2 linked regions of the Struthio camelus genome follow. The protein of the gene in region 1 purifies or fractionates together with the protein of each later gene. This does not show direct contact. Links are inferred from orthologs where the notes say so. Each region holds a gene or a part of one and is shown on either strand. Other genes may lie near its edges.

Region 1 (7,006 bases):
TTCCTAAGTGCGCACAGAGATTTTCAAGTTGCACTCCTGACATTCTGACTCCTAATGTATTATACACAAAAGGTCTTGCACTAAATACTTGAAAAGATGTGCCTAAATCTCTTCTAATCTTATTCAAACCTTCCTTTTAAAAATTGAGTTTAAAAGTATGCAAAACAGAAAAGTTAAATATCTATCCGGCTTCAGGCCTTTACTTCTAGCTATACTTCCAGTGGTAGAGGAGGACCCAATTTCTAATGACATCTCATGGGGCTTTGTGGAGTCTTCAAAGCTCTTTTCTCACGTCAGAAGGCGGACAAACCTCCATGATGGACAGAATTGCTAAGAGCATGAGGTCATCCAGAAGGCAAGCTGCTATGGATACCAAAGTCCAAACGCTTTTCCTTCAGCTGTGAAAGAAGGACAGTGTTTTTGTCATTGTCTTACCAGGATGATTGATCCTATGAGCCAGTTTTGCAATGAAATGAAAATCCTGATGCTCCAGCTCAAAGACCAACCTCTGTCCCTCACAGCCCCAAAGGGAAAAACCAACAGGAAAACTTACATGTTACAACTCTCTCTCATGTATCACCCTACTCCAAATTATTGTAGCATTTAAAATAATAGAAATAAGTATCTTTAAAAATTGTCTGAAAGGAGTAGATCAGAAGAACTAACATACTTAAACTGAGGGGTACATGGATGTACTCAGGACTTCAAGGGGTAAAAGGAATTAGGAGGCCGCAGATCCCTACATTGCTGTCGTCTGGGTCATTGTAAACTCTCAGCTACATGACAGCAGAGAAGCTGTGCGGTTGTGCAGCCCCCTCTGCTCGCCTGATCGCTGCCTCCAGCCCTGGACAGAGCGTACCACAATCACAAGTTACAAAGCAAAAAAATTTCACTGAAGTTAAAAGGCAAACAAAACGGCCTTTTTTTCTTTCTTTTGTGACTGGCTTGAACAATAAGAGATGTTATTTTTCTACAAAGATGAAAATTGTTATTATTTTTCTACTCTGCTCTGCACTTCTCAAGAACCTCTGTTAATCTCTATCCTTCACTGAGGAAAGCTTTGCAGTCTGTCTCTCGGTGGTTAGAATCATCTGTGCCTGGATGTTGAAAGGAGCTGGAAGAAACATGTTAAAAAATCTGAAACTGTTTATGCAAAGAATATTAAAGGAATTGAGTTAGCGGACACAAGTCCTTCCATATATTCACAAAGGTAGACATAGGGGGAAAAGTGGTCAAGGAGGCTGCAAGACTGTGCGCGTCTGCAGTACTTACTAGTGGTTTCCAGTATCCTTTAATACAGGTGGCGAAGGAACCCTTTCTGTTTTCCCTCACTATTAATCAAAGGATCAAAGTTCTTTGGATAGCACAGCCTGAGGAGAAGGTGCTTTTCTGTGAGAAGCACACACTTTTTCACTAGTGGCACAGCAAGAATTAATTTGAATTTAGTTTCAAATTAAAATAGAAAAAAATAATTTGGGTTATCTGTAGATGAAAACTAAGTCAGCGTCCTGTCTAGATGATTAGAAAGGTAATTTTAAAGAGCTTCTGGTAAATTTGGACTTCTCCTTGACAGAAATGTCCTGAATTTGCCCTTCTCTGATACACTAGGAGAAAATAACACTTTAACCATCCATTATAATTTTAAGTGCAGATAATAAATGTGTAGTGCAAATTGTCTTGGCCTGTTCTCCCATGTAAATACAAGCTTTTAAAATAACAAATCATTACGAAATAATTTTATAATGGCCATAGATATCCAACAGTGATTTCTATTATACAGAAATTCAATTGATTACTATCTCATTCCAAAATGCTCAGAGAAGTTCAGATTACTTTCAGAGAGTAATGGCAGAACTACACGCTCAAAGGCTGAAATATGAATGTCCTCTCCTTACCCTCATAAAGAAAGAAAAAAAGGAGATAAGCATGGATTCTAACTCTTTCCATTCCATATCCTTAAGTTCAATTTATGTCACTTACATTACAGTTTTTTATTCAAACCCTAAAACATACCTCTCCTTTTAGTAATGCATTGCTAATAACTTTGAAGATGTAAAGACAAAAGATTGGGCTTTTCCCTCTCTGTATACAGTTTCTTACAAGTTTAGTCCAACCATTTGGATCATGAAACCTAATCAGTAATCAGGAAATAAACACAAAAAAACCCACACTGTTTGCTAGCAGTATCTTGCTATTCATACTAAAAACAAATACATCAGTTCCATCTTTTAATAAATTAATTTCCTGGGTGAGCAGGGAAACTTTGGATTTCAGTAAGTACAAACTCACAGGATGTTTTGATCCATCAGGTCCATTTCTTCTTCTAATCGAAAAGGTACCTACCACCCCTGATTTTCATGGGAGCCGCTTTAACACAGTGTAAGCATGAAAAGCTTAATAATATCATGGGTTTTTTTTTATCTAAAGCGCTCAAAAATTTTAGAAAGTTAAGAAAAGGAACATTACTGACATTGACTAGGAGGCATAAATTATTAATGGAGAAATTTTTAAAAGTGATATAGAAAATTAGTCACAGTCGAGAATGAAACACAGTACGTTCACTGACCATCTGTGTTTAGTCCATAGTTACCCCTGGAGAAGAGCTTTAGTCACCTCCATTTACTAATATCAGCCTTTCTGGATCTATACCGTTGTGGCCAGCCTCTACTTCTCCTTTGCCCGTTACTGACCTCCATAACAAACCCAAATGCTTTAGGTAGCGTTTTGTGAGGGGTTAAGTGGTATTTGTCCTTCTCTCGGGGTCAAGGTCGTGACCCTCTGTACTACATGGTCTTTTAATCAAAGGCCCTGAATCAGAGCAGCAGAAAGCTAAGAAGGCATCATTTAACATGACCCTGCTCCCCACTATCCTACCTTGGGACACTGGGGCCTTTGGGCCATTTTGGTTCTTAGCTACAGCCAAGCCTGATTCACAAACAACAATGCAGCAGCCTGCCATCTTTCCCCATGTACAGTTGTATGCGCTCTCTCTCTGAATTTCTCCTAGCTATGTATTTTTCTGTCTTGTTTTCTAATGGAAACATATCAATATTTTGCAACCTTCTCTGCAAAACTGATGTCCAATTCAATCCCTCCTCTACTGTATTAGCTCTGGAATGTATTTCACGTTATCATTTATTTTGGCAACAAAAGCATCAACATGTTTTTGTTTGCATTTCAGTGGCTTTTCTGTTTTTTTCTGTTCTGCTTTTTTTTTTTTTTTGACTCTCAATAACTTCTGTCATTACTTTAATAATGACAAATTGAGATATGGGCCCTCAGTTTTCATTACTACCCTAGTAAGAATCAGATGCCGAGGGCTGAACTTCCAATTCAAATCAATGCGAACTTCTCCACTGAAATTTACATTAATGTGTTTTGTCTCACAACCGGGTGAAATAAAGGCATACGCACAAACAGTTACTGTGGATCAGTTGACGGGCAGCAACATATCTTCTTCGCTGGTATAACCTCATCTTTCTAAATTCCATGCTCATAACTTTTACAGACGTATTTGAGAGATTAAAGCAGTTTACCTGTTAACTTTGTTGTTAAGTGTATCCTGCATGAGAAAGTTACCCATTGAAGCTGGGCTGAGGCATTTAAGTTTGTTTAACTAAATCCATGCAAGAATCGGCAAAGTATTGGCCTGCGTATCGTAGGGATGCGTCTACTTTTTGCACGTCTTTCCTTGTTTCATCACTGTCTGGTAGAGCAACTCTCGATGATGCGAGAACTATTTCCCCTGACTCCTCTGCCCTGCGCTCTGCCCCGCAGCAGCCCAGCGCGGGGGCGGCAGCAGCAGCGGCGGCGGCGGCAGCCCGGGGCCGGGAGCGCGGGACCGGGGGGCACCGCGGGGCGCGGAGCGGCGGGCTGGCAAAGGTGCCGGCGGGGCAGAGCAAGCCGGAGAGGCAGGTGAAAGGGCGGAGAGTGGACAAGGGAGGGCGAAATGCACAGCAGGGAAGGAGGGAGGGCCAAATGCTCCGGGAGGGAGGGCAAAGGCAGGGGCAGAGGGAGGAGAGGGGGCCGGGTTAAAGAGCAGGGGAGCCGGGGGAGGGGAAGCGGAGCGGGACCTGGCGAGAGGCAGATTTAAGGAGTGGCACTGTGGGAAAGTAGCCGCGCTGCGCCCCGTCCTCAGCTCGGAGCCCCGCTGCTGCTCGCTGCTTCTCCCCCGCCGGCCCGCAGGATGCCTGTGAAAGGAGGCACCAAGTGCATCAAGTACCTGCTCTTCGGCTTCAACTTCATTTTCTGGGTAAGGGGCCCCCGCCCGGCCCGACCCTGCCTCGCGGAGCCCTCCGGCGTGCCCGGGACAAGGGGTGTTTGCCCGCCCAGGGCTCGCCTCACGGAGCAAGGGGCTCCGGTTTCTCCTTGCCCCGACGTGTTTCCCTTGGGAAGGAGCCGTTTGCCCTGCGTCGCCTGCCTCTTCCCCCTTGCGCCCATGGGGTCCGGGGGGGGGGGGGGATAGGAGGGGTGACCCTGTGCAAGGGCTGGAGGGAGGGGAATTTCATTCCTCCCCTCCCCCGCCTCGCCTTGAGAGAACTAGGTGTTTTCCCCATTCCCCCCCCCCCCCGGGTGGGGGGGGTTTCCCTGCGCTCCCGCCCTGCCGAAGTTTTTCCCCGAGCGGCGGCCTGGTGTGGCGTGGCGCGGCGTGCGCCCGGAGCCGCGCAGCCCGGTGCCGGGGCAGCGGTGTGGGGAGGGGTGGGGGGGTGCTGCTGCCGCCTTGACGCCTCGACGCCCCGGGTCTTGCCCCGCGGGCGCGGCGGCTGCGGCGGGCAGCGGGCTGGCGGCGCGCCCGCGGGCGGCTCTCCCTCCCGCTCCGGGGGCAGGTCCGCCCGCCGCCCCGGGGCGCGCTGCGCGCCTCTCTGCCGCTGCCCCCGCGCCGTCGGTGAGCCCCGCTGCCAGGGGCCGGGCCGGGCCGGGCCGCCGGCCAGGTGCTGGTTACCTGCCCGCGGCGGCGGTGCAGACAAACGCCCACGCAGTCAGGTGGCGGCGAAGGCCGGGGAGTTTCCCTGCCTCGCGATTAAAGGCGGCCGGGCGGCTGTGGAAGTGCAGGAGGATCTAGCGAAGCTGCTGCTGTGTCTCATGTGCTCAATAATATGATGTGTATATTGCGGTTATGATATCTAGCGTGGTACGTTCAGCAAGAGGCATTCGAATAAGATGCATACCCAGCTCGTTACTCTTTTAAAACTTCCCTTCCTAGACCCATAGGCAGAAAATCCTTTTATCAGACTGTGTATCCTCCCTGTTGATGTGTCTGAGGAGGGCGGAGGGGGGGAAATGCGGCAGTTGAAGGTAGTTTTTCGGGTTTTTTTTTCCCTCGCAGCAGCATATACAACACTTGCACAGAAACTCTCCTTGAGTTTAACTTGCTCGCAAAGCTGAAGTCTTTTTAGGTGAGCAGGCTATGGCAAGGGGTGGTGAACTAGCTATGTGCAAATTGGAGCTTGTGATCATGATCGTCTTACTCGTCTTGGTGGGAACTTCAGCTAAAGCTGTAGCTGCTGCCTCGAATCTTGTAGGAAACATTTCCTAAAGAAAGTCCTAAAATAGCTTAATCTGAAGAGCACGACACAGCAAGTGAAAGCTGTCTTGAGTGTAGTTTCTGGCATGGCTACCTCTAGTCAGCTATGCCATGTCAGGAAGCATGGCATAATTAAGAAGTTGTCTGTTTCCCCAAGTACTTTGAGAAGCGGCCACATCTGAATTTAATATTGTCTGCTTTGTGGAAAAAGGCCAAAGGGAATGCAATAGAGCACTGCATGCATAACTTCTAGATGTGAAGTGTGAGCTCAAAGGGAATTACTTCTAGGAGCAGGTGGGTTTTGAGGGTGTGTTGTTTTTTGGGTTGTTCTCTTTCTCCCTCTCCCCCCCCCCTTTTTAAGTTATTTTCCTCTAGGCTATCTCCTTCAGGGATAAATGCAGTATGCGTGTGTGTTTTCTACACCCACTTACCCTGCAATATGGAGAAATGAGTTTAGAGCTGTGTAAAGAAAATCCTTCTGTGGTCAGTAGCAGTGCTGCACATGGGATGATTGCAGGTACAGTGTTAATGGATAAAGTGCTCTGATCTCCTAAGCTAAAAATTGGTTTCAGTAGAGTGTGAAGATGGATTCAGGCTGCAGTTGAGGGAAAGCAAGGGAACTTGCATGGGGAAACTTTACAAGGACACAGAAAGTATTTCCATCCTAGACTCACCAAACTTTAAATAGGTATTGGGAGAGGAAAGTCCTCATATTTGGAGGAGGATGACTGATAAGGGAAAAACCATCTAACAGTGCACTGGATGAAACTTTTGGATGCCTTGCATGTTGTAAACATGTCTTAGCTTTAGTGTCATCTCTCAGACTTCTAAATTAATTTGCGGTGCTGGTACTTGCAGCTGAATCAAGTGCTACTTTTGCTGTAATCAATTTTGAAATACCAGGTCACTTAGGCAGTTTAAGTACATGTTTGTTATCCTGAAACATAAGAAAAATACAAGTAATCTGTGTAGCTTTTGATATTGTATTTATCTCAATGAGGTGCTAAACTTAACCTTGTTGAAACCTGAGAAAACAGCTTGACCGTGGAGCAGACCTGTTGCTGAAGCTCTTCCTTGAGCAAAGTGGCCGCTGCTCCCAGCAGCGGGTGGGCTGCGCTGGCTGTGTTAGCTTCTTAAACTGAATGAGAACAGGGCAAAAAGGAAGAGGGCAAAAAAGAGGCCCCATAAGAGTAATAAAAGGGGGATTAATACTTGTTCCTCTAAGTATCCTGACAAGCAGCGGAAACATCAATAGATAATAAATGTAAAACACCTAGGATCTTTCAGGGATAAATACATATGTAGAGCAGCTGTGACTTACAGTAGTAGTCCTTGGTTTTCAGGGCTCATTACATGTATGTATGTGCTTTACAGAAACTACTGAAGGGGCTTTTCAAGTGCAATGTTAAAGTGAACCTCATACCTCTGTTTTATTTATCTATAGAGGATATCTTAGATTCTTTTAAACTGTTAGGCTTCTGC
Region 2 (7,909 bases), on another chromosome or scaffold:
TAAGACTCACTTAAGCGATTTCAGAAAAAAAATTAAGGAGCATTTACCATTTTTTAACGAACCCTTGTTCAGAGTCAGACTAAAGCAGCCCTTGAACACAGTTCAGGTACTGCTACTTTTCTCATTTGCTTATTTACCCAAGGATGCTGTGATCTTGCACATGTCAGTTGCAACTCATTTCTGATTTTATAAAGTGCTTTAGGTTTTTTTTGGTTTGGTTTGGAATGACAGCCCCTGCCAGATGAGTACTGAAACGTCACTTTTAATTAAGTTTCAACAATGAAATGAGTTTTGAGTATTTTGGCAACTGTTTAACGGTGTTCACACTCAAACAGCTGTAACTGAGCTTTGCAGTTAGCATCCTCTCAAGAAGAAGGGTGAAATAATTATTTCTGCTGTTGCTATTGTATCATTCTAGTTGACTCAAGAGATAGGCAGACATAAAGTCACCTTTGCAACAGAGCTGGAACACAGACCAGAGGAACGCAGCTGGGAACGCACAGGTATTCCATCACTGAAAAGAAATCAGTAAAATTCCTGTTTTTACAGATAATATGCAACATGTAGGGATTAGATATACTTGTTTCTCAGTGAACCTCCATTCTCACCTTCACTGAAAGCCTAGATAGTAGACACTTCGTTCTACCTATAAGCAGTCAATCTATTTAGAAATCCAAATTCTTATCTGGTGAACCTGCCAAATAAGTTGCTCAGTATTAATTTAGCGTTGCTCATTTTTATCTGGTTGTTCACAAACACACAGCCTAACACGGGAGCCCTCATTTCAAGTTTCTCCATTAGAACTCCCATCTGTTTCATAAGACATAATTTACATGAAGGGAGCTTAACATACTCCTGTCCCAATGAAAGATACTTACACAGTTTCTACCAGGAAGGTGTCACACAAAACAGTTCAGCATGTTTAATGTCCTGTTCTCTCACAGGCACGCACTACTACTTTTATAGACAAAAAAAATAAACAAACAAAAAAACCTCAAACTCATTGTAACGTAGTTGTGCTATGTAAAAGAACTGAATGCAGGTTTTCCAAGACCCGCAGCAGCACTCAAATTATTAGGCAACCTTTCTTTGTGCTAAAACACACAAATAAGCCAAAAAAAAAGTCAAGATATCTCATGTTCAAAAGTATGTATCAGCACAGCATATAGTTTGTTAGTCTAGACTTGTCTCTGTTAGAGACCCTTGTTTCTCATGAAAGCCTAGATTCATAAAGCCGTATCAGTAACAGGGAGAGCATCTGTGCCCCTGGATCTGGATTGCCTTTGGGTACTGAAAATGCACTTACTATACATACAACACAGAACCTTCATGCTAATAACCATTGAAGCATTTCAGCCAAATGTTACAGACTTGCTTGAGCACTATGACCACTTTTCTACAATCTTCTGAGTAAACGGCTTTCCTTCTCTACATATTGGGATACACTCATTTTACCAGCATTTGACAGTACCATGGAATGCTAACGAGTTCAGATATCATTTTCTTAACAAAGTGAAGGCCAACATACATTTAATCCTACCAAGAATTATGATGCAGAATTCTGAAAAGGAATCACAGATGTGTGTGTATGTTGCCCTTTAGGATACCCTTCAGGACATTCTGTGTACTACAATAAAGATGGGATTTGGCTATTTGTGATTTATACTCTTTTACATATTATGATTTCTATGAAATCACATAGGATGCAAGTTCAGTCAAAACGAGTCCACAGAACTTTTAACTAAGTTTACTGACTAACTTTACTAAGAATACAATTTCTTTCTCACTTTCTTCTTCCATATGTTCTATTTAGATTATAGGCTCACCTTCCCTTAAATTAAAACAAAACATTAGCGGAGAGACGTTCGTTTCATGACAATACCTAATAAAGGACACACTCCATCAGCACTGTTGTGCAGGGTGGGGTCAGACATCCTGCTCAAATAGTCATGAACAGGCAAGGACTTCTCTGCTCTCCCAAAGATGTACAAAGAAGCCTTATTTTGCCTTTGGATTTTCCAGAGGGAGTTCCTGACTTTCACCCCCATGCTTCTAATTGATTTATTTTTCCTGTCTTCCTTATATTATCTCCCGCTTTCACTCCCAGGCAGGTTCGGTCTTGAACACTAGCGCTTGCATTACATAAAGCCAAGATATTGGTATGCGTTCACGTCGTGAAAGTGGTCGAGAAATGCAATTTCACTATTTTTTTTTGGGGGGGGGGGGTTGAGGGCCGACGACGACGACGACACAAACAACAAACAAAGTTTGTTGTTTTTTTTTTTTTTCCTAAAAGCTGCCCAGTCCAACCAGAGCCATCACCAAAGGCGAAAACAAAACCAGCAGCCCGCACGGGCACCCCGCGGCCCCGAGGGCACCTGCATGCTGGCGGGCGGCTCGGCGCTGCCCCCGGGGCCCGAGGCCGGCCTCAAACCCGCGCAGACCTCCCGCTGGGCCGGGCCGGGCCGGGCCGCACCGTGCCGCCCGGCCCGCAGCGGGGGGAAGAGGAGGAGGATTTTGCCTTATTTGCTCCTTTTCCTCCGCCAGGTCCTGCCCGGTTTCGGCGGCCGGCAGGTGCCCGCCCCGCCCCTCCGAGCGGCGGCTCCCCCTCCCCGAGCGCCCCGCCAGGGCGGGCGGCGGCCGGCAGCCCCGGCCCGCCGCGGGGGGACGGGACCGGCCCGCCCGCGAAGTTTCCAGACGGGAGGGAAGGGAGGGAGGGTCGCTGCCCAGTGGCGCGGCCGGGGGGCACTTACAGCCTCCTCTCCTGCGGCTGCAGCTGCCGGTGCATGGCCAGGGAGAAGCCGAAGAGGCTGCCCGCCTCGCCGTGCCGGCTGATCACGTTATCGGCGTCCAGGTTGAAGGCGCCGGCGAGGCACGGCAGCAGGGGCAGGCAGAAGAGGAGCGCGGCCGCCATCTGCTCCGGCCGCGGACGGGACCTGCCGCGCGCCGCCGCCGCTCCCCGCGCTGCGGCCGCCCGTTGTGCGCCGGCGGCCCGGCCCCGCTCGGCTCCGCCCCGGGGGAGGGGGGGCGGCCCCACCGCGGCCCCTCCTCCGGCCTCGCCGGCTGCCGCGGCTCTCCCACCGCGGAGCCCCGCGCCCCTCAGCGGCGGCGGGCAGGGCACAAAATGTCTCCCGGGTCCCCGCAGGGGCACAGCGCTTGCCTCACCCCCGCGGCGCGGGGGCGGCTCTGCGCATACCGCCTCGCTAGGGGCGGCGCAGGCCGCGCGCGCCCGCAGCCGTTACAACGGCCGCGGCAGGGGCCCGCCGGCCGCAGCCGTTACAACGGCCGGCGGCGCGACGCCGTCCCGCAGCAGGAGGAAGCTGGGCTCCGGGCAGCGCACGTACAGGTGTATCTAGTGTCTGGAGCCTGTCTTCCCCGAAGGCCACGTACACGAGAGGAATCAGTGCGTATATACCTGTTCTGAGGGCTTCAGAGAACGTGGAAGCAGAGGCTCAGCCTGCATGGCAGCCTTCTTTAAACTTCGTTCCTTCAAGCACTTCCACTCTTTGGAGATATCAGAGTTCTTTTACCCCTTCGCTTTGTTTGAAAGTAGTATGTGGTTTTACATCCCATATCATCTTATCTCGTGCTCCCCGCTCACCCCTGTAAGGATATTTGCAAGCACGCCTTAACAGTTTTATCCATCTGAGAGAGATTTATACCCATTTGTAACTATTTTAGCACTCTGGATTAGGAAACTGAAGGCAAGGTTTTTAAAACCTTACAGACGTTAAGCAGCGTGACAATACATTTTTCTTTTCCACGAATATCTAAATTGCGGAAAAAGAAGCCTCTCTTCACATACAAGAGTCCAGCAAAAGAGAGATGAGCAGCTGAGGCAGAGCACTCGCATCTGTTAATATTCCCAATAATTTATTCTGGAATAATATTACTATTTCACGGAGCTAATCCAGATTACTTTTTCCAGAGTAATTATTCTAGGATAGCTCCCTGTATAGGCAAGTCTTTGGCACAAGACCAAAACACCCTTGATCACAAGAACGGAGAAAATGCACCAAAAATGTGCATCTAATGCAGAAACAAAACATTTTGTTAAATTAGGCTCCTAGACATTCATTTCTAATAGTAGCCTTCCCTGCTTGCTCTTTGTGCCCAGCTCATTAAAAGTTTTAATCCAGCCTTCAATCACATTACAGTCATGGCAGTCTGCTGCCATGGCAGAAAACTGCACTGGCATAAACACTGCCCTGTGATTTCATTAAAGGACTCTTAAGAGGGAAGGGTCCTGGGCTAATTTCAAGAGAGTAGGCTCACTACTGTCTGTGTACTGTGCCGTAACTAGCAAAGATTTGAAAACAAGTCTTTTAAAATAGCGTTGATGGCTGTATCAAAGTCTTAGCAGTTTGCCCTTCAGGACCATTTAAACTTGCACGCTTATAATACTCTTACAGTAACTATAGTTACACTAGTACTTGCACCCAATAACTTTTGTAAGGAGTCACAGAAATACCGCGCTGTATCCAGAGCCATTTGAGTGATACTGGCACGTTAGGTTCATCTGACTTCTCCCCCTCCGTCTCTCCAACCAGCATTGCCTGGACTTGTTTTACTAGTTTGTTGTTATCCGTAGACGTTGCTGAGGCGTGAGAGAGTTTTCTCATCTCCAGATGCAGAAACAAGCATTCCAAAACATAGATATATTAAAACCTGTCTCAAGTGACCACAGCAGGAACAACAAAAATAGACAGTACGCAGGGTGGAGCAGAATCGCACACAAACAGCTTAGTTACCTTGGATGGTCTCTCACTGTTTTGTACTATTTTAATTTGCTCTAGATAAGGAGGAGGAAAGTTTGAAAAATCCCAATTTCCTTCCTTTGCTCTTCCAAAAAAAAAAAAAACAAACAAACAACCCACTGTGGGTTATCTATAACTAACACACTTCAGCAGTTCCTCTTTTGTACCATCCCGGTATAAAAGGGGACAAAGATTAGGTATGATGACCAATTAAATTTGACCACTGTACTATACATAATACTGTGGTGATTCTATGAAAAGTATTAGCCAGATCAAAGCTGAGTCTTTTTTTCTATAACAAATGCTTTGTAATAGCGGAGTTTTCAAGCTGTTTGCTTATTAATGGTATGTTGGTATTCTGCCAAAGGGCTACAAGGTGTTTGCCTGCTGTGTCTGCGTATTGAGCAAGCTTTAGTGCCAGTAATACTTTCCTCCTCTAGACAGCTGTGTAGTTAATTACCAAGCAAAAAAATAAGTTCTGGAAAATAGAAGAGGCGGGATGGAAAAGCTAGAGCTTTAAGGAAAGCCTAAAATGCCGTGCCAGAGAAGGAACAATGCTTTACATTTCTGAACTTTTCTCATTTATATGAAGAAAATACCTTATGCAAAGAAATACACAACTTGTGGATACTCAGCTGTGCAGCTTTAATGCAGCACATCAAATGGTTCTGAAAAGCAAAAGTATGTAAACATCTCCCTCACATTTAATTTAAAAAAATTGACCTTAAAATTGATAAAATTCCAGATGAAAAATTGAAATAGGCCAGAAAGGTTTGCTTCACTGTGCAAGTTCTAAAGCCATAAAGAGTTTCAGTTCAGAACCATAAACTACTTTTAAGTGTTATTAACCTGGATCACCTTCTGAATGCAACACACATACCATGTTTAGAACTGCTTGTTCTCCAAATTATTTACTTTTTCTGAATGGCTACATCTCATGAGCTACAATAAACAGTCAAGCTATTAGTCTTTCTTGCATCCGGGGCCATTGGGCTATTTTTGCTAGAACTTCCTTTACTGCTGTTCTCAGTTCTGTTTTAACAGTGATGTTAGGACTAGCAAACAGCAGTAGGAGAGGTAATGTGCTCAATAACAAATGCGCAAAGTGTTTTGCTCTGAACAGTTTAGAAGCCAGAGTGTTTAAATAGCTGTATTTGCACCGTTGGTGTTCTGAATTATGCAGAACTGACTCTGGTCATATTTATATCATTTGTAAATAAATAAGGAGTGTCTCATCTCTCTTTCTTTACTATATTTTCAAAAAGATTCCTAAAATGCAACTTTTTCTACCTGTTGCTTTATTGTTTTAATCAGATGACTTTCAGTTCCAAATTAAGATATTGCTGTTTTTATAACTTATTTTTCTTTTGAATGTACAGAACTATAGACATCGTTCTGTCATTCTTTACGGGTTTACAAAGTAAAAACATTTTGCCTCTATAGATAGATTATTTAGAATTTGACGTGATATTTCTGATTTGAAATCCTTAAGGACTGCATGTCTGGACTTCTAACAATTTGTGTCATGATTTTAACATGTTTATATACAATATGTAAAATATTATACACACAAAAATCTGAGATGAAAGAAGAATTTCTGTCCAGACTCCAAATTGTTCTACATCAGCTCCCAATTTTCCAGAGTACCAGTTTCTTTAAGTCTTCTACAACCAGAGAATATTTTTCCACTGAAGTTGTCAGTCACATTCCTTAAGTAGTTTTAGAATAGCTAGCGCAAACTGTTTGGAGAGTAAACATCCTTGCAAACACGCTTGGAGCAGGCACTTTTTCTGAGTGTAGCTACGCAGAGATGAGAGAAATGCTGGTAGCAAATGGAAACTAAACAATACTTTGGATTGCTGTAGAAAGAATTAAGGATGTTCCTTCAAGAAGTACTGAGGCCTAAAACTGCAGTCATTTTGAGCATATGCCTACATATTCTAACGCACTGGCCACATACACAGCTGCATAAGATCCCCCTCCATAAGGGCAGCCTAAGCTTAAACAACCTTACACACATCAAAGGCACCTTTGGTGAGAGAGCCCGTTTTGGGTCTCTCTCAGCAAGGCACGTATCCCACAATCTCTTGCATCGTCGCTGGAGAGACTTTTAGCACTGTGCCCACTACCTGTCTATACCATGCATGCCCCTTGATCTACAACACTGTGCTACACACAAAACCTTGCTTCAGCTTGCTTTTGCCATTATTCACTAGGGCCTCCTTGCAAAAAGAGAGAGGCATAACCCAACACCAGATGCACACTTTCGGGCAATGAATCTACTCAGCTCTCCCTCAACGTCTATCTACGTGCAGGCCTTGCAGCCTATCTGGCCCAAAGCAGCCAGCCGTTGCTCCAACTGGCCCTGCCCTCGCAGTCAAAATGCCTTCTTGATGCTTGGTGTCAGTCTTCTTACTGCCAAGGCTACAGGACTATACCCTCTCTGTAAAGGAAACCTATAGATCTAGAGTCAACAGAGGTTACCTGTATTGGGTAACACGGCATAGGCTAGCAGAGGAGATTAAATAAGTAAAATCTTTCTTGGGTAGGTAACTGGGAGGAAGCTGGGGAGGAAAAGAGAAGGCTCGCAAGCAAGATAGTCATGGGATCTCTCTCTGGAAACTCTTCTCCAGGAAATCAGGAAGCAAGACGAGTCTTCAAGGGACATGTTTTAACTGCATCAGGAGTCAAATATAATCATTTTTCAGGACAAAATACTTTTGCTCTCCTAGCTCACACAGACTCTGGCTAAAGAGACTTTGGCTATCACCTAAAGCACATCTCAATACAATCTTGACACAACTTATCTCTAGGAACTGCACCACGTGCTGCACACACAGGACCTAGCCTTAGGACAGGATCTGCAAAGCCCAAGACCAAGGAGTACAGACAACTGAGGGATCTGGACTGTAGGTCATCATCTAGCTTACTGTAGTAGCACAGCACAGCTGGTACCCCCAACTCGCCTTGCTGCTTGGTCACTAGTACACTCATTGCACCTGCTCCCCATGAGGCTGTGGATCACACCCAGCTGCGAGGGCGACCAGCTGGCTGTTTGGCTGCCACAGAGGTGGTAAAGCCCAGTCAAGGAGAAGGAGTTTGCACAGAAGTTGCCAGAGATTGACAAGAACCATGGCGGGAGGGGAGAGGGA

What was found. Proteins that work in one complex are often made in the same cells at the same time.
Region 2: the proteins of CD9 (region 1) and ITGA6 purify together in Homo sapiens (co-immunoprecipitation; 3 studies listed by BioGRID and IntAct, with this or other methods). This does not show direct contact. The link is inferred for Struthio camelus from reciprocal best matches to the Homo sapiens genes CD9 and ITGA6.

What each region holds. Positions count from the first base shown.
Region 1 is NC_090942.1:83,042,622-83,049,627, reverse strand, and holds the start of CD9 (CD9 antigen), read left to right. Parts: upstream 1-3,930; 5' UTR 3,931-4,186; coding exon 4,187-4,252; intron 4,253-7,006. UniProt on the Homo sapiens protein: Integral membrane protein associated with integrins, which regulates different processes, such as sperm-egg fusion, platelet activation and aggregation, and cell adhesion.
Region 2 is NC_090947.1:22,649,649-22,657,557, forward strand, and holds the start of ITGA6 (integrin alpha-6), read right to left. Parts: upstream 3,005-7,909; 5' UTR 2,915-3,004; coding exon 2,754-2,914; intron 1-2,753. UniProt on the Homo sapiens protein: Integrin alpha-6/beta-1 (ITGA6:ITGB1) is a receptor for laminin on platelets. Integrin alpha-6/beta-1 (ITGA6:ITGB1) is present in oocytes and is involved in sperm-egg fusion.